Diceros bicornis minor: one gene and its partner. The protein of the gene in region 1 interacts with the protein of each later gene in a pairwise test. Links are inferred from orthologs where the notes say so. Each region holds a gene or a part of one and is shown on either strand. Other genes may lie near its edges.

Region 1 (9,994 bases):
TCCCAGGCCTTGAGCTCCCACTGCCCCCTTGCCTGTGTTCATGCACTTCCTCTACTGAAAGCCCCTTCCCTAGCAGGGTCTCCACATTCAGGCTCATGTGGCACCTCCGCCCTGAAGCCTTCCTGGTCCTCCCCACCCCTTAAGGTCAGAAGCTCCCTGGCCTCCCTGACACCTGTTATCACACATGGCTTCTGCAGTATATCACAGGGCAGCTATGCATGGGGCTTATCTCGTCTGGGCAGCTGTGCATGGGGCTTATCTCGCCAGGGATTGTGGGCTTCCCCAGGGCAGGGAGCCAGGTGATTCAGCCCCTCATTCAGCCCACAGCAGCCCCAGGTCGTGTTTGCAGGGAGCATGGCTAGCAAGCCACAGAAGGGAAGAGTAAAAAGAGCAGGTAAATGGGCAGGACTCCCAGGTTCATGAGTGAGCATCTTCCATTTCGCAGAGCCCAAGTGCAACCTGCTATGTCCCTATTTCACAGATGGGAACTAGGGCCACACCGGGAGCTCACGCATCAAGTCACACAGGGTATTGTGGCTGAGCTAGGGCAGGGCAGGCTGGGGCACCAACCCCTGCCTCTCACCCTCGGCTGAAATTGGGGTTTAGCTCTTAGAACTAGCCAGGAATCCTGCAGGCTGGATGGAGGCCCGTGGTCTCTCCAGGGCGTATCCTGAGCCCTGACTCAGTGAGCAGAAAGTTGTCCCCATCATGTCCCTGGGGGACACCCCCTGACTCACCCCAACCACTTCCTGCCACTTCTTTCCCTATTTTCCCTGCAAATCTCCATGCCAACGACTAGCTCCACCCAAGTTTGGGTCAAGGTGGGGTCCAGGGCCCAAGGGGCTGCAGGACCCTCCACAGGGCCTGGAGGAAACAGTGTGTCACCTGCTGGGTAGACTGGACTCTGCCCCTCTTGAAGCCCTGAGGCCACCCCCCAGTCCCTTCGGATCCCAGGTCCAGTGTCTGACAGGAGCCCTTGGGGGTCACTTTCTCTGTCTCTAGGCCCAGGACTTTTGCTTCTGGACCCCAAACTTCCATCGTGTGGTCAGGGCAGTGCCTGGGCCCCCGCCACAGCACTCAGTGCCCTCATGCTCAGCATGGCCCCTCTTGGCTCCTCTTAGCCAAACCCTCCCAGGAAGGGTAATAAACACACATCCCCAAAGAGCTTGCCGGTGGTACGGGCGTGGCCCGTACCAGGACACTAGGACACTAGGTCTCCTCTTGGAGCCTCAAGGTCCTCAGCTCCAGGAAACTCAACAAGTAAGTAGTAGATGGGACCTGAACCCAGTGTGCCTGCCTCCTGGCCCAGGGCTGGCCCCGCACTAGGCTGCCCCTTTTTCTCCCCCATCTGCAACCCCACTCAGCCCAGGTATTGGGGTGACTCTGGAAAATGGAGGCCAGAGAGGGGAAGAGACACTGGAGCAGGCATGGCCAGATCAAAATGGCCCAGAAGTGCCTGCCCTCCTGCGTCTGCCTGGATGCCCATGTTAGAGACTGCTAAGTCTGCAGCAGATGCCCTGCCTGCCTGTCCCTTGAGAGGGAGGGTCAACAGGCGGCCAGAAGGCCGGGGGAGACTCCATCCCTCCCCTGTGAGGACACCTTCCCCATCCCCATTATGCCCAGCAGAGCCCAAATGTGAACCTGACCCTACTCTGCGGGCACTCCCTGGGGTCACCTGGCTCTGCCCCCACTGGACACTGAGGCCTGGAGGGATGTGGCCTGCCAGAGCACCATCCCTTACACCCACCCTGGCCACATCTTCCTGAACTAAAGTCTAAACTCCAGCCTACAGGCTAATCTTCAATCTGGGGCCGGGCATCGGTTGGCTCCATGAAGGGGCTGGGTGAGAGGTCACTGTGACACAAGAAGTGCTAATCCCCCTGTGGCAGGGCCGTGCCAGCTGCCCTCTGCACCAGACTTTACCGAGCCTCCCCAGCTGCAGCCCCAGGATCTGAACTTTGGGTGGGAAGCAAGAGGACAGTTGCTATAATCACCCACCGAGCCCTTAGCCAGCTCCCTTTCTGTCGCCACACCCACCTGCCCTACAGGGGGCCCTGCCAGCCTCCTTTCTCTAGGTCTGATTCCTCCTCTCTGCTCCTTTGCCTCTCTCCCTCCCCTCAGGGCCCACGCTCAGATACATCCTTCAAACCTTACTCAGCCTCTTGGGCCAAATTTCCCCCTGCTGTGGCCCAAGCCTGGTCTAAGTTTGCACTTGGCTGAGGGGCTGGAAAGTGACAGCAGGCAACCACCGCCAACAGCCAATTAGCTGTGCTAAGCAGCCCGGGAGGAATTCTTTTCAGCAGCTGCCACCCAGTTGCCAACATCTGCTTATCATGAGTGCCCCCAGCCCCATTCTAGCCAGGAGCAGTGAGCACACGCAGGTACACGCTCACCCCCACACTCACTCACACACCAGCACTAACATGCTCACAGACACACTTCCAGAAACAGACACACAGGGGAGCACACAGCTTACACAAGCTTGGAAAACCACACCGGCATCCACGTGCATACACTCGTTCACACACACACACGCGCACCACACCTCTCAGTGCCGGGCACAGAGAGTAGAGCCCAGACAGGAGGCGGGATGTCCTGGCGCTGGCCCCACCCCGTACTGTAATCCAGGAAAACCACCTGCAAACAGCCAGCAAGTGTTTCCCCCACCGCCTCCATCTTTGTCTGATTCCTGGGGGACAGAGGAGCGAGAGGGGCTTTTTCCTTGAAAGCAGTTTATCTGGGGACCTGTGTGAATGTGGAGGCTGCCTGGAGGCCTGTGCGTCCCCCCACAGGAGTCCTGCTCACGCACTTGCAGACCTGGCTGCAGACATGCCAGGCATCTGGTTCAGGGGGAGTGGGGACTGAGGGCAGAGTTTCCCCAGTGGCCGGGCTGCAGGCAGAGGGAGCTGCCTGCACAGGCAGGGCTGCAGGGAGCCAAGAAACTACAGTCGAGGGGTGATGAACTGCTGGCCCAAACTTCAGCGGCCTCCAGAGCTTATTTCCCACAATAGATGCCCACAGGGGATACCGGCAAGACTGTTCCTCTCTGGGTCTCAGTCCTGGCAAAAAACAGGCGCTGGGCTGCAGGCGGAGCTGAGTTCCAGCCCCAACTCTGCAAGACCTCCAGCAACTTCTGTTCTCTCTGTTCCTCGGTGTCCCCATCTGCACAATGGGCAGAGGATGAGACCAGTGCTGTCTCAGCACCATTCTAGACGCCCCTGAGCCTGAGGCCAGCCCACTCACCTCATTGCGGCCAAGCGAGTTGTCGGGCAGGGAGGAGGTGACACCCGAGAGAATGGCAGTGGCGACGATGGCGCCCACACACTGGGCGATGATGTACATGAGGGCCCGGAGGATGCTGATCTGGCAGCTGAGCAGCAGCCCCAGCGTGACGGCCGGGTTGAGGTGGGCGCCGCTGATGTGGCCCACGCTCTGGGCCAGCGTGGCGATGCTCAGCCCGAAGGCCAGCGACACCTTCACGTTGTCCTGGGCTGCACCTGATGTCTGGTTGTTCTTCACCGGGTATTGGAAGCCCAGGGCGGAACCAATGCTGATGAAGATGAAGAGGGTCATGGCCAGGAACTCGGCCACCACCGCCCTCCAAAAGAGCTTCGTCTTGAACTCGCTGGCCATGCTGGCAGGGGTCTTGGCTGGAGACTGCTGCCTGGTGCCCGACTCCCTCCGAGAGCTGAGCCACAGCCCAGGCTGGGCCTATTTATAGGGCCCCGGGGGAAGGGGGGGGCACAAAGGGAGGAAGGCCTCTCCTTGCTCCTGGCCCGCCCCGCACCGCACAGGCCTCCTCTCAGCGATGGATGCAGACACAGCTCTGCTGTCGGCCTGCCAACTTTTTTTCCTTTCCTCCTCTCCCCCCTCCCTCCCTCTCTCCCTCCGCCCTCAGCCCTGCCCTGCCCGAGGAGGCAGGCAGGAGGCAGCCACTGCTGTAATAGGCTTTGGGAAATTCTTGCAAGTTGGCCCCACTCAGGGGGCCAGAGGAATCCAGGTGTGCAAAGCTCAGGGGGTGCCCAAGGGCAGAGCCAGGCACTCCAAATGTGGCAAGGTGGGCGGGTTGGACTCAGCGGGTGGACGTTGCCCTCCCTGGAGGCGGGCACCGTGACCCTGCTGCCCTGGCATCCCCATCCTACCTCAGAGTGGCCTTAGACTGCAGTCCATGGGCCCAGGGGTCCAAAGGGGCAGGCTGGGCCTCCCACACTCCGGGTCAGGCCTGGCCACTGGATGTCACTTTAGGGATGTCCCCACGCCTCCAGCCCCACCAGCCAGGCCTCAGTTGATGGGGGCACGGAGGCATCAGAATGTGCAGAGAGCTTGTCTGTGGCCCACCCTCTCAATGGCAGGCCTGAGATAGGAAAGGGTGTGGGAAGCCCCCACTGCGGGAGCCCTCAAGTTTCTAGGAAGAAGTTTGAACTAGTGTTTTGGGGGCAGGTGGGGAAGGTGAGGGCAGTTTAGGACTTTCCTCTCAAAGGCTGTCCAGCCGGCAGACCTCTGGGGAGACTGAAGGAACGGCAGCCTGACCTGGAGACTGGAAGGCCCAGGAGAGAAGAAAGGAGCAAGGGAGAAAGGGAGAGGCCCCAACAGAGCAGTGAAGAGGAGAGGAGACAGACAGACAGACAGAGAATGAAGGGCAGAGTTATAGGGACGCGGAACCATCACAAAAATGGAAGTGAAAGAGATGATCCCCAGGCAGAGGCAGTGAGACAGGCCAGGGCTGAGAGAGAGACAGAAGGAGCACAGAGGGAGAGGAGACAAACTGGAAAGAGGGGAGACACGACTGGACCCAGAGGCAGGCAGGGAAAAGGGAAAGATGAGGGAGGGGCAGGCAGGTGAGGGGGAGGGACCAGACAAGCTCCCAGCCCCCACCCCCCACCCCTGCAGGGGGAAGGGGAAGAGGCTGCTCTGCAGACCCCTGCAGTCCAGCCTGTGCCTGTGCCTCCCCAAGCCAGAGGTCCAGCGGTGGCCAACAAACTGAGCAAGAAACTGGACTCCTGAGCCAGGAGTCCCGTCAGGAGCCCCAGGCCCAGTCCACCGGCCTGCTGCTGGGTAGTGTGTGAAGGGGAGCGGGCAGGGCCCTGGACAGGCGGGGCCCTGGAGGGAGTGGCCTCCGAGGCCCTCTCCTCCCACCTCCTGCCTGCCCCACCACAGTCCTACATGTGAGTGCTGGCTTCTCCCCATTTTATAGGTGAAAAACTGAAGCCCAGTGAGAGGAAGGACTTCTGTGAGTTCTGCATATGCCAGGGGTAGGGCAAGGATGAGCACGTGGATCTTGTGCCTCCTGTCCAAGGGCCATCTGCAGAAGATGACACCAGCCCCCACTGGCCACCCTACTGGCCAGCTGCAGTGCACACCAGGGCCACCCTGGCGCCGGCCATGAACCCGCCCAGGCATCAGCCTGGTGCTTGCTGAGAGCAGGAGGCTCGCTTGGGACGGAGTATGGAGGGTAGCTGTGTCCACCTAAATATCTGTAAGTATAGGATGGAGTGGACATGAGCAGGGAGTCTGCGTGGTGGCTGGTGGGCCCTGCCTGCTCAGAGAACCCCGGTGGCCAGAGGTAATTGGTGCCTTATTAACCATCCAGAGAGGGAGCCAGCCCCACTGGGCCACTTCCAGGAACCTCTTCCACATCCTCCACTCTGGGCGGGCCTGGCTCAGCTCTCCACGCCCCGGGAGGCTTCCTCGTGCCCTGGCCCCTGGCCCCTGGCCCCTGGCCCTGTGGACTTGTGGCAACAGTGCCCCACAGTGAGGGGTTCTCTGTCAGTTCTGGGACCTCCGACCAGAGCTCCTTCCACAGGGCTGGGGTTCCCTCACGCCCAGGCTTCAGAGGACAGCCCTTTTTCCCCTCAGTCCAGACAGGACCGTTTCCCTTCAGGCCACAGGCTCCATGTCCACTGAGAGACATCCACGCCATCCTCCTTCTTCCCCCTCAGATTCTAGGTCCTAACAGAGCCCACACCTGTCCCTGCCCTCTGCTTGGTGCAGGGTCAAGTTCTGACTCTGGCAGGTACTGGGACCCAGCCACGAGGGCTTGAGGAGGGCGGCATGGGAGAGCCGGCACCAGGCCCGCAGGGGCCACTGGGTGCAGGTTGGTGTGGGGGTTCAATACCACAGAAGAGGGGCCTGTATGGGCCTGTGTGTGCTCCAGGTTCCGTGACAGTGTCCGGGGCCAGGTCAGGATCCGTGCAGCTGAGAACACAGAATGTGCTACCAGGCATGAGGGGGAGATTCCCCTGGGACGTACAAATTTATCCAACAAATGTTTACTTGGCACATGCCAAACACCGTTCCGGGCAATGGGGAGACAGCTATGAACCAGACGGCCCTCTCATTGTCCTCCTGAAGCCTGTGTTCTAGCACGTGAGCCTGCAGGCCCTGTGTGGGCACTCTGGAAGACAGAGTATATGACTGCAGAGGGCACGTGTGTGTGTGTGTGCGTGTGTGTGTATGTACTTGGAGAGGCCTGTGTCCTTTGGAGCAGGGCAGGAGATGGGGACCCAGGCGTCACAGAGTAAGCAAAGCACTTTTGCCCAGGCAAATTAGGCACCCGCCAATCTTCGGGTGATAGGAGGATCCTCAGGGCAATACCCCTGCCACCCCCTGCATCTCCCACCCCGTCCTTCACACCAGCATGGCCTCTGCCTCATATGCCACCATTATAACTCCATTCCTTTGGATGACGGCATTGCTGTCACCAGGAGGCGCCATCAGAACACAAGCATCTCCAGAATAATGCCCACCTCAGTCACCCACCACCTCCCATAATGCAAAGGGGCCTCTGTGGCCATAACCTGACCATTTCCATGGGAAGGGAGAAGATCTCCACTGGAGCCCCAGACCCAGGAAGGCCCCAAACCCTTCCATCTCCTTCTCTCTGGTCTGCCACACATCCAGACCGACCAGTGGAGGAAGGAAGGAAACAGCATCTAGCCGAGGGCCCATCTTCCCCACAACCCTGGGAGGCTCGGATGGTAAGAGATTTGCCAAGGAAAAGCAGAGCTGGGATTAGAACCTAATTCCCAGAGCCCAAGTCTGGTTCTCTGCCTGCCTGTCAGGAAGGGCCCCTGACCGGCCCAGTTACCATAGGGAAACCCCAGTTCTGCTTGCTCAGGAACAAGTACAAAGGCTGAGAGGTCCGGGCCCCAGAGGCGCTAGGATGGGCGAGGGGTGGAGGGTTGGGGAAGGAAGCATCAGGCTAAGACTGGGCACATAGAGCAGCCGGGAGAGGCGAGAGTCACCCCTGCAGCCCCCCTAGTCTGGGAGTTTGGGCTCTGAGGCAGGATGCTGCCTCCACCCCAGCTCCTCCTCCAGCGTGGCCTGACTCCGCGTGCTCCGTGTCCCTCCCACGGACAGTGGCATGGGCCCAGCCTCCAGAGCCCACAGGGCTGAGCCAGGCTAAATAAGGAGGACTGCCCCCCACCCAGCTCCTGAGCCTGGGCGGAGCTTGAGGCCACTCAGGCCTGGTCACTGTCTGGCCCTGCTGGAGCAACAGCCTCAGCAAACGCTTTTCCAGATGTGCCTTATTCCTGATGTGCCCAGTGAGACCCGAATTCCAGTCAGAGCTGGCTGTTCCCAGGACAGTCTGGGCTCCGTCCCCATTGGAATCCAGGGGGAGAGTCTCAGGCTTTTCCAGAGGTGGGTGCACAGAGGCTCAGGTGTCGGCCAAGCGTCCGGACCTCGGGCTGCGTGGGGAGAAGACGCCCATGAGTGTGGCCACGGCTGTCACTCTCTTAGCCAGAAGCTTCTGTGGAGCACAGAGCAGAGGAGCTGAGGGGCATGGACCCTGCCTTCTGGGCCAGGCAGGGATTTCTCACCCGCAGGCTGGGTTGTGGGAAACAATGATTTCATTCCCTCCAGGAGGCCCACCCAGAGGGTGGAGCTTGGGGTGGGAAGGGACTCAAATAACAGGCTGGCCGCGACCATCCAGGCACCATCGGCTCACCAGCAGCCTGGATGAATTTTCCAGAATGGCTCAGGCTTTCCAGAATGGAGGCAGAGGGCACTCATGGAGGATAGGAAGAGAGTCCTGGAGCGGGGTGGTGAAAATCAGAGAACGCCCTGCCCGGAGAATGCCTGCGACCTTGATCTAGGACCTGCTGCCCCTGGCCCTTGGCTGCTCAGACACAGCCTATCTCCCCCAGCCCCACACAGGGCATTTGGCTCTAGCATGAAGTCATCCTTCCTGGGAGGCATGGCCAATCCCCTCTGAGGTGGAGCAGAGGAGGGACCCAGGCCCAGGGCACAAAGACCAAAAAGGAGACAGGATGTCCCCTCAAACTCCTTGGCCTGGTCCTCAAGGCTCTCCACTTGCCACCTGGTATGGCACTTGCCACCAGCCCTTCCCAACCCCAGGCAAGGGTCCGGTTCCCGTGCCACAGGCTCTCTGCCCCTGGGTGTCTGCATGCACACTCTTCCTCCTCACATCCTACCTCCTCCTTCCTAGAGGCACAGCTGCCCCTGACCCCCGCCTCCACAGCAGCACCCACAGTGAAGGTTGTGCCCGACCCCCGACCCCGGACTGTCCCCTCACGGCCCCGTGGGGTGAGGCTGGGCCCGAGGGCAGGGCCCAGGTCTTCTCCTTCCCTGTCCTCCGCTCCCCCAGCGGAGCTGAGCACCAGGCTGGGCGTGGCGGGGGATGCTGGGGGAGAATCTGCCCTCTGACCATCCGGTTCCCACCTCTCAAAGCAAGTGAATTCCTCTCTGTCTAACAGATAATTTAGGCCTCACACAATCTCCCTTAAATCAAAACCGGATTTAGCGGGCGACCAGTGATTCATCAGAGGCGGAACAATTTAGTAATTTTCTGAACGGCTGCCTCCTGTTCTCTTCTCGCTGCCCTCACCCTCACCGCTGCCCGCCCTGAGCAATATCTAGGCTTATTGTTGCTTGGGGTGGGGGTGGGGGGAACAGACGCAATTGCAAACCCATTTCTGGAAGGCAGGATTTTCTATTTTGATGTTTTTCCAACTCGACAGCAATAGCCCCACTTGATGCCACAGAGAAGGAGCTAGAGAGAAAGGACGGAAAAGTTGTCTGGCCTGGCTAGCATCTATGAGAGCTTATCACACCACGTCCAGGAATGGGAGCAGAGATTCCAGGGTCAGGCTGGGCTCCCGGGCCTGAATGACGGCACTGTGAGGACACGGGGCTGCCCCCATGCCCACCGCCAACTCCGCTTGGCCTGGAGGAGGTCCTCCAAGAGGGAGTGAAGTCACCTTTTCCCCAGCCCTGCCCTGCAGGTGGGGAGGCATCCCTCACTTCCAGACAACGCTGGTGGTGGCATTGTGCTGGGCTGCCAGCCACACCCTTGGGGCAGTGGTGGGGGGACAGGCAGGACAGGGGGCTCTGGCTGTGGGTCCCCGGAAGGGAAGTCCTCATCATATGTGTGGTGGTTTTGGAGCATTTCCTCACACTGGGCACACACACAGCACTTCCCCTGTCCCCTGGCCTGGCTGCCACTGCAGCTTCCCTCTCTAGCCTCCAAGCCCCCTACCTCCTCCTGCCCTGGGCCCTCAGAAATCTCCTGTCTTTGCCTTATTAGGTCACAAAGCATCAAGGTTGGGAGAACGGAGTCAGATAGCATTGGATCTGATGCCCTCATTTTGCACATGGGGAAACTGAGGCTCAGGGAGGCGAGGTGACATGCCGGGGTCCTTTGGTGCGTCAGAGTGAAGCCAGGACTAGAGTCTGGGTCTCCTGGTTCCTGCCCAGCCTGGTCTGCCAGCCACACCCAGCCTCCTCGTCCTCCCTTCTCTGCTTGACAAGAGGCCACCTCCTCCTGGACTCCAGCAAGAACTTGGAAAAGTGACCTCCCTGACCAGGAACCAAGAGGCCCGGGCAGCCAGAAGGTATCCATGGGGGAGCCTGCCTTTGACTCCCCCAGCCCCCCAGGACCTGACATTTTTGTGTCTCCCAGCTGGGCCTGAGCCAGCTACAGGCCCTTGAACCCCCCACCAATGCTGCAGACCCCAGAGCATCTACACCCATG
Region 2 (9,206 bases), on another chromosome or scaffold:
AAAAGGAACCGTGAACTTTGGAAAGTCCAGACCTGGTGGCAGGTGGCAGTATGTTACAGACACCGTGGCAGCCCTAATCCTGTGGCTGATCCATCTCCAGCCTTTGGCGATGTTTGCCAATGCCAGTTCAGCCACAATGATCTCTGTGGTCTTTGCCACGTCTTCTTTGTCACTAGGTATTTCCTCTCTTTGTTTGCTTTTGCCTGTTTTATAAAACTAACATTAGCATTCAAATAAATAAGAAAAATGTACTAGAATATCAATGGAAAATGGGCAAAAGACTTGAACAAGCCATCCTCAAAGACAAAAAAAAAAAATGGCTTATAATCATATTAAAAAAGGAATCAGCATTATTAGTAACCAAAGAAATAAAAGTTTCAAAAACATCATTTTCAGCTATCAAGTTAGCAAAGATTTTTCAAAAGATGATATTATGTTGGTGAGAAGTAAATGTTCTAAGCCTCAAGCCTAAAGGAAAAAATGCCATTCAGATATGCAGAAAAAACCTAGGCATAAGGAGGTACAGCGGTTAAAACAGTAAAATATTGGAAATAACATAAAAATCCAAAAATAAAAGAATGGCTAAATAAATGAAGACATCCATAAGATGAATTCTTTTGCAGTCACTAAATTGTATTAAAAAATACCAATTTTAATTTCTTGGGAAACATCAACAAAGTAACGTTAAATTTTTAAAAAGCAAGTATGAAGTTCTACTACTTTAAATTGGTCCATTTAAAAATTCTTTAAAAAATGGTCCATTTATGCATAGGAAATGAACCGGCGGGAAACTGACCAGTATTTTCAATAGCGGTTCTTTAGGCATTGGGATAATTATGAGTACTCAGTATATGCTAGGCACGTGTTCAGCACTTTATATACAGTGAATTATATTCATGCTTGCAAACATCTTAGAAGGTGGGTCTTTATCCCTGTTGTATACCAGAGGAAACTGAGGCTCAGAGCAGGTAACTAACTTGACCATGGTGACAAAGCTATTAAATGAAGGAGCCAAGACACAAGTTAACATCAGCTGCCCCCAAAGCTCATGTTCATCATGTCCATGAGGGCCCACAGGTAATCTAAATGTTCTGTTTTATTCATTTTTTTCTGCATTCTAGGGGACCTAAAAATAAGCATATATTGCTTTTATAATCTGGAAACAAATCATAATATAAATGTTATAGTAAAAACATGCATATTCGCAAAGTGACAGTTCTAAAAATTGCTTCCTTCAAAGATGCAGGACCATGAATGTGATCTTTAGATCTTAGACGAGTGTATTGTAATGAGCATGAGCGCTCTTTTAAAAATGTAATCCCAAATCTCGGAAGACTTTTGTGAGTCCCGTCAATTCTGCAATATTTTTTCATTCAAGAAATACTTATTTAACATCCGCCTTTTGCCAGATATTGTGCTAGGTGTTTGCACAATAGCAGGAATAACAGTCTAAATGACTTTCTTTGGATATTGGGAAAGTCTTTAGGGGATAAGGGAAGACAGGACGAGATAGGGAAGGTGAGAGTATCCATCAATCTACATTGAGTCCTGGCTACCTACATCTAAGGATTATTTTATTTTTTTAAGCTTTCCATAAAAACTTACAATATTTTTGAGGATCCAGAACACCTTCCTGGAAATGTCATGCAATTTTAAGCCTCTACAATGCATTTATGCTTATACGCTAACTGTAGTAATCAGATGAAATAAAATGCTTTTTAACATCACACAGCGTTACTGTCATCCACTGAGTGTACAGTGGTCCTTGCATTTGCCCTTCTATGCAGTGCTGTATCTTCATTGTTAAGTAAGCAGAGCTGGATATTCAGAAAAAAGAATCTCAGCAGAAATGCAACTGGATGGATTCCTATCCCTCTTGGTTCCACATCTCATCGTTCATGCCCGTCTTTCATTTTTCAGAAAAGCCCATGTCTTTCAGCAAATGGACTTTTAATATGAAGGCCATTATCTCTAGAACACAGGTAAACGCTTTCTTACTTTTTAGTCTATGAGTCAACCAGAATTTTTATCAATTTAGATTTAGATTTGGCTGTTATAATAAGGTCAAATGGGTAAGAATGTGTATATTTCTCCTTTTCTACAAAGCCCCTGGCCCTCATAGTAGGAAATATTAAGAAATGTTTTATTATTATTATTATTATTATTATTATGCAAAAGTGTAAGAAGTCCATAGGAATGATAATGACTTAGACTTTCAACATGATGAGTTCAAATAAATTAGGACCCTGTAGGAAGATCCCTAAAAGCAAAGAGATAGCTATTTGAGAAGGAAAAGCTGGATTCCTTAGAATTGGACAGCAAAGTAACTCCTTGTTAATTCCCTTCTATGGGAATTAAACACCAAGGAGTAATTGAGGAACCAGAGAAAAAAGGGTAGAAATCGGCACAGACACCTTATGTTATTTGCTCTGTAAATTAGGTGGTTTTCTTAACCTCTCAGACTATAAATTCAGGACAAAGGATGAGTGCCCAGGGCTCTGAGATCAGATGTCACTGTCATGGAGATTCATCTTATTTAATGTGATACCATCCAATCCTTTTGTAATAATAAACACTTGTTTTCTCATCTCCAAAAACTGTTAATAAACTACTTTCTCATGGTTTCTCTAAATATAGTTTTTAAGATTTTTAAAATAGTGAATAAATCTACTCTTCCATGAGTGTGTTAATTACTGTTTTAGTTCATGCTAACAGAAGAAGCAGCTTAATAATAGTGACTTAACTGGAGGTGATCAAAATGCTCATTCATTTGAATTAATGAGTCCGAATCACCTTTTCATTAGATATTAGTGCTATAATGTATATTTCACTGATACCTGCTATTACTACAAAAGACTTTAGAAACAAATACAATTGACTTAAAGTGTCACAGTTTTCAAAATTATTTAATACACATAGTGTCTAGCAGCTATGAAACCAGGAGAAAAACATTATTTTCCATTACAAGGGTAAAAACTGTTTCTCCTTTCTCCAATTAAATGATTTTCAGAAGGGTTCATCACCCGGAAAAACAGTATGTATGAAATCCGGAAATGCAGATGATAGATATCCAGTCTTATAAATGCTTATTATAAACGGGAACCAAACTCTAAGATTTCTCTCTATTACTTGTGATAGCCATCCCATGATGGAAGTAATCTCGCTGTAAAACAACTGAAAAAAGAAAAAGAAACTATGGGAAGATTGCAAAGTTCTCTAGACAAACCTTCCAGTGACTCGCTTAAAGAAGGAAGCATTTATCAAAGGGTCAGAGAGGTTAGGAAAACTATGCCAGGAGCCAGGGTCAGTCTTGCCAGAGCGACTGAGATTGTCCCAGGTGAGCCGGTGTCCTGGGCTCTGGATGGAGGCGGAGGGCGCAGGGCGGGTCCCGCACGGCGCGCATCCTTTTGGCCAGGAGACCCCTGCTCTGTCCCCGGGAGCCCGGCGATTCCCGAGGCTGGCGCGGGCTGCCCGGGACGCACTGCCAGCAGCCTCCAGCTCGCGAGGAGCATCTCCCCATCCGCGGCTTCCGAGGCCAGCTCTGTCCCTCCGCCATCCTGAAGTCCTCCGACATTTTTCACCGAGACAGGAAGGTAGGGAGAAGAGGAAACGGCCGAGCGTCTGCACCCAGCCTCTGCCGCAGCACATGAGGAGGAGAGGAGGAGGGAGGCTATTAAACTGTGATTCTATCGATAATAAAAAGAATCATCACCCACAGCAGGGGAGTCTCGGATACACCCACCTGGGCAGCGGCTAGGGAATTGGTGGGCGTTCCTCCTCCTCGCCCCCTCGGTGGCTGTGAAATCTACCCCAAGCCAAGCACACAAGAACTCCCTTTCCTTCGACTAAGGAGAGGGCAAAGAACAAAAGAGACCCCCACCCCCTACACACACACACACACCTCAGACATTTCACCGATGCTCAAGGTATGCATTTCTGCAATCCCTTTGGCTTACACCTTCCCCACCTGAATAGTGCGTTTTCCCAAAGGTAAAGAAAGAAAAAATACCATGCCAAGGTGATCGGTCGACTGGACACTGTCAATTCACATTCGGTTTTCCAACAAACCCCCACAAAAATCCCGCAGGACCTCGCGCCCCCGCGGGGTCTCCGCCGCCCTGGGCCCTCTGCCGGTTCCCCGAAGGCGCCCAGCTCTCCGCGGGGGACCCGACCGAGGGCTCCCCGGGCGGGCAGGACACTCGCCCAGCCCGTCCGCCGCAGCTGGAGGGCGGCGAGCGGACCGCGCCGAGGCAGCAACGCCGGACGCAACTTCCCAAACCCGCGGCGCGGCCCCCGCTCGCACCCGCGGCGCGGCAGCAGCGCCGAGCCCCCCGCGCCCGCAGCCTCCCCCGCCAGGGCGCTGGCAGTTGCACTCTCCGCCCCCTCTTTCCTTCACTTCCCCCCCCCCCCAACCACCACCTTTAAAAAATTCATCCCTCGGTGCAAAGCAGACATTTTGATGTCATTTACTTAGCCCCGCTCGGGTTCGGAGCCAGCATCTTACCCAGCCGCCTGGAGGTGTGGGCAGCGCACCGATGGGTCCGGGGGCGCGAGGCTGGGCTGCTCGGTCCTCTAGCGGAGCCGGTTTGCTGCCATCCGCCCAACTTCAGCACCCAGCGGGCGAGGAGAGAGGGAGAGAGGCGAGGATGGAGGGGAGGGGAGAGGGGGCGGAGGGAGGGGTGGGCGGGGAGGGAGCTGGAGCCGCTCGGCAGCGCGCATGCGCCCCGCGGGCGGGCGCAGCCCCTCGCCCGGCGCGGCCGGAGGTGCCGCTTCTTCCCCGGGCGCGCGGCCGCGTGAGTCACCGCCCCGCCCGGCCCCCGCGCGCTGCCCGCGGCTCGGCGCCCGCGGTGCGGAGGGTCTCGGCCGGAGCTCCCGGCGCGGGTGCAGGGCTTCGCGGGAGCCTTGGAGACCTGGGAGCCTTCCTTGATTAGAGAGGCTCTCGCGCCCAGGCTCCAACTTCACGTTCACCCGCAGCCCTCGTCTGTTTCATCCTGTGCTTGAGGAGAGTTGCTTGACACCAGAAGCATGTCTTTAAGGAACAAAACAGCGCCGCAGCAGCGGGGTCCCAGTGGAAGCAGTCCCTGTGTGGGGGTTCAAGAAAGTGTGAAGTTAAGCAAGTTTTGCTTACCCAAGGACTCGACTTTGGGAAGAGTTCTTTAGTTTATTGACGTCCTCACCCGGGAATCTGACCCTTTGCCCTAAGAATTATTTCAGATGCTCTCTGGTCTGGGGCATATGTTCTGTCTCAGGAGTCTGGACCACTAGAACCAGAGTTTTGATTGAGAGAAGCCGATGACAAGGCAGGAGTCGTGAATTATTAACAGAGGTGTTGATGCTTGGGGCCTGGAGCATCCTTCAGGGACAGCTCAGTAGCTATCAGGTCTGATAATTGTTCTAGTCACAAGCGGAGCCCCGCTTGGTAGTGAAGGAGCTTTGGCTACTTAATGCAGCCTGAGCGCTAGATTGCATCTCCGATGATTAGATTGAAGTGTTTGTGAGGGTGAATTAGGGAAGCGGGTGTCTTTCTCTTCAGATGTGACATCTGTGGGAAGAGGAGTGAGTTCCTGGCAGGAATGATTAGGCTTTTTTCTTATACCTATTGCAAACTAATTACTTGTAAGTATATATGATTTCCCATTGTTTGTGTGCTCATGTATTCAAACAGTGCTGTTATTTCAGTCTCCTTTATGGAACGTGCTCTGGCCTCCCACCTCTCCACCTCTACTTGAGTTAAGTGTGTCTCAGAGTTTGCTCCAGGGCCTCCTTCTCGCTACATCATGGCTTTGAAGACTAGTGCTCTTCCAAATGTATTGCCTGGACTGGTGTTGGTCTGCAAATTGTTCCTTATCGGTCTGTAAGGAGAGAGAAGTACAGAAATTGAAAGTAAGATGTAGAAACTTTTATAGCACTTTGACATTGCCTTGACATCCAAGCACATTCATCAGCTGTACTTTCTGTTTTTTGATTTGTAAAGTAATTCATTTTTGTTGGATTTTACAAAAGTATTGGTCCACGACGCGTTGAAAATAAAAAATAGAAGTCCTTCACCAAAAATGATTTGAGGGGCACTGAATTCTATGTAACTCCCAGATTTATATCTTCAGTCCTCACCTCTCACAGAGCTCTTTTATGCCCTCAACTACCTTTACAACTCCATTTGAAGAATGATTATAATAGTTAATATTTATGGAGCAATTACGGTGTGCTGGGTACTGATCTACATGTTTTGCATATGTTTCTTATTTTCTCTACAAGGTAGATACTATTATTATGTTTAACTGACAACTCAGGAGCAGAACTCCAGATACCCGCCCCCTCCAAACCTGTTCCTCTTTAGACTGTTCCACCCGGTTACTCACGTCAAAAATTTAGAAGTCATCCTTGTTTTGTCTCTTCCTTTCACGCCAGCATCCAATTAATTAGCTAGCCATGTTGTCTCCACCTCCAAAATATAGCCCCAATTCCTCCACTTCTCTCCCTCTCCATTGCTATAACGATGGTTCAAACCTCTATCGTCTCTCACCTGAGCTACTACAAAAGCCGCCAGTGGGGTCTCCTCCACAACCCCAAACAACACATTCTCCAAACAACAGCTGAGTGATCTTTTAAAAACGTAACCAGATCATGTCATGCTTCCGCTTAAAACTTTCCAGTGAGTTTTCATTGCACTTTAAATACAACCCCTGATCCTTACCACAGCCTAGAAGGTTCTGTATAATCTTGTCCCAGCCCAGTTCTCTTACGCCATGTTCCCATAGACCATACCTATGTGTGCTATAGCCACATCGGCCTATTTCTGTTACTCTCTTGAGTAAGTCTAGCTTACAGTACTTGCTGTTCTTTCTGTTTGGAATCCTCTGCTCCTAGATCTTTACATAGTAGGCTCCTTCATATCCTACAGGTCTCTGCTCAAGTATCACCTCCTCAGGCTTTATCTAACCACCTGATCTAATTGGCCCCAGGGTTCTTCTCTGTTAGATCTCCTTGCTTTGATTTCTTCCAGATACTTTTCACTATCTGAATCAGCTTGCATTTGTTTACTTGTTTATTATCTCCTCATCCTCCTCTAGAATAAAGGATCTCAAGAGCTTTGCCTGCACTTTTATCTCTGGTGCCCAGAACAAGATTTGGCACGTATTGTTTACTCACTAAGTATTTAGTGAATGAATGCATGATTGAATGAATAAATAACACACTTAAAAAAAGTATTTTATTATTTTTTCTGATGCTTCTTCTTCTTGGATCCTCATTGCTGCCTGTCACAATTTGTTTGTTTCCCAGCAGTACACAGAGAGACAACATTGTTTCCTCTGTCCACCCTGTCAGAGATGGCTCCATGTAATGGCACACATTTAAACTAGACGCCAGAGTCGTGTTCCTAGAACCAACTTGAAAACAAGCATACTCAATAAAAAAATGATCCTTACTTCCATGAGCTTCCCTAAATTGTAATAATGGCTACTTGGGCAATTTTTTGCACCTAGGACAACTTGGCTATTCTGCCAATAATTTACTTGCTAAAGTCAAATGTAACCTCTTGGTGACTTTCTTTCATGCCTATGGTTTGTTGTGTAATCCTTTATGTGTTAGCCAGAATCTTCAGTGATAGTGTTCTAGGAACTGGACGTGTCGCCTATGATCTTAATGTTGAACAAATGGCATTAATGACCTTCACCTCATAGAGTTTGGTCACTTGCAATCTGTGTGTATATCTGGGTCTTAGGAAATATCTGCAACACCAGTGACATCAGATGATGACTAGGTCAATAATTCAATTCAATAAACTTTATTGATCAATAAAATTTATTGATGTCTACTATATGCGGGGAATTATGTCTTCAAGTTTTTTTGCAAAAATTGTAAATGTTATATAAAATTATTATATATGACTCAGAAATGGATTTCAGTTCATTTCAGCCATGGGAATGTCTTCTCTTTACACAGAATTTTGGAGCTCATTGAGCTTATCATCATTAAACAGCTGTGTGGTAACTACAGAAAGCAGCATTTGATCCTGATCATTTCCATACTGTTATGGATGTGTTTTTCAAGTGCAGAGAATCTGGATACAGCAGCAGGATTTTTGGCATAATGACTTCATAGTAAGGCAGACAGGAGATTTGCAGGCAAGATATTTGCAGACAGAAGGTATTGGAAAAGGACAGAGCATAAAAATATTTACAGTACATTTACTCATAATTAGGGGTATTTGTCATCGTTAGGAGACCTGGATTCTACCTCAGTGAGTTTGATACCCTTGGAAGGTTTTTTCAGGAAGAAATTATGTAGCATCTTTACATTTCATTCTCTTTTCCCACATGCTCATTTATTTAAAAGCAACTGTTTTACCTTCGAAAAGCAGAGAGAAAAGGAAGAAATTTGCTTGAATCTAAAAAACCCTGACTGCTCCATCCAGGCATACTTCTCCAGAGTGGAGCACGGAAAGATAGTTAGAATATGACTGCTTAAAATCACTTTTTCTTTACTTTTAGTAAACGGGCTTATCCTGTTTCTTGAACTGGTTTTAATCAAGCCTTAGAGACATGCTCTTCTCAGGGAACTTATTTAGATAGAAAATACTTGTGTTTCTTCATCAATATTTGAAGGAGATGAGAAAAAGAAAACACAAGATAGTCTTTCTCCCAAATATATAAAATGAGGTATAATTAGAGTTTTACATTTTATATGCACTTTAGTTTTTATAAATTATTAGTTATTAATGTTTCCTTAATATTTAACTTATCAGCCTTGAACTCAAAAGACACAATATTATTCTTTCAGAATAGCATTAGTGCATTTATATCTCAATGTAATTGGATGATTCCATGGAAGTAGAAATAAATACCTTTGTATGATTTTTATCATTTATGCCCAATTTTGTATAACTAAGTTCCCACAATGGCTTAACAAGATAGAGTTGGTTTTGAGTCACCCTAAATACTTTATAAAAGTACTCATTAGATGAATCCTGGATATTCACATTCTTTTTGGTTTAACAGATCTACCGTATAATGTTGGACAACATTATATGATAGCAAATATGGAAAAATAGCAAAATGTTCATCTCACCTGGAGAACATGATGACATTCAGTTATTACAGTCAGATTCTTTGTGGATGGAGAAAAAATTCCAGAACTTAATGGTCCATATTATATTATCTTGAGATTTTTGAAGGTTTCTAGATGATAGTAGCTGGATTGTAGAA

What was found.
Region 2: the proteins of AQP1 (region 1) and RGS17 interact in binary tests that used the Homo sapiens proteins (3 or more experiments, as listed by UniProt). The two-hybrid records come from large-scale screens. The link is inferred for Diceros bicornis minor from reciprocal best matches to the Homo sapiens genes AQP1 and RGS17.

What each region holds. Positions count from the first base shown.
Region 1 is NC_080742.1:55,185,412-55,195,405, reverse strand, and holds the start of AQP1 (aquaporin-1), read right to left. Parts: upstream 3,675-9,994; 5' UTR 3,634-3,674; coding exon 3,244-3,633; intron 1-3,243. UniProt on the Homo sapiens protein: Forms a water channel that facilitates the transport of water across cell membranes, playing a crucial role in water homeostasis in various tissues.
Region 2 is NC_080778.1:15,790,861-15,800,066, reverse strand, and holds the start of RGS17 (regulator of G-protein signaling 17), read right to left. Parts: upstream 4,606-9,206; 5' UTR 4,505-4,605; intron 1-4,504. UniProt on the Homo sapiens protein: Regulates G protein-coupled receptor signaling cascades, including signaling via muscarinic acetylcholine receptor CHRM2 and dopamine receptor DRD2.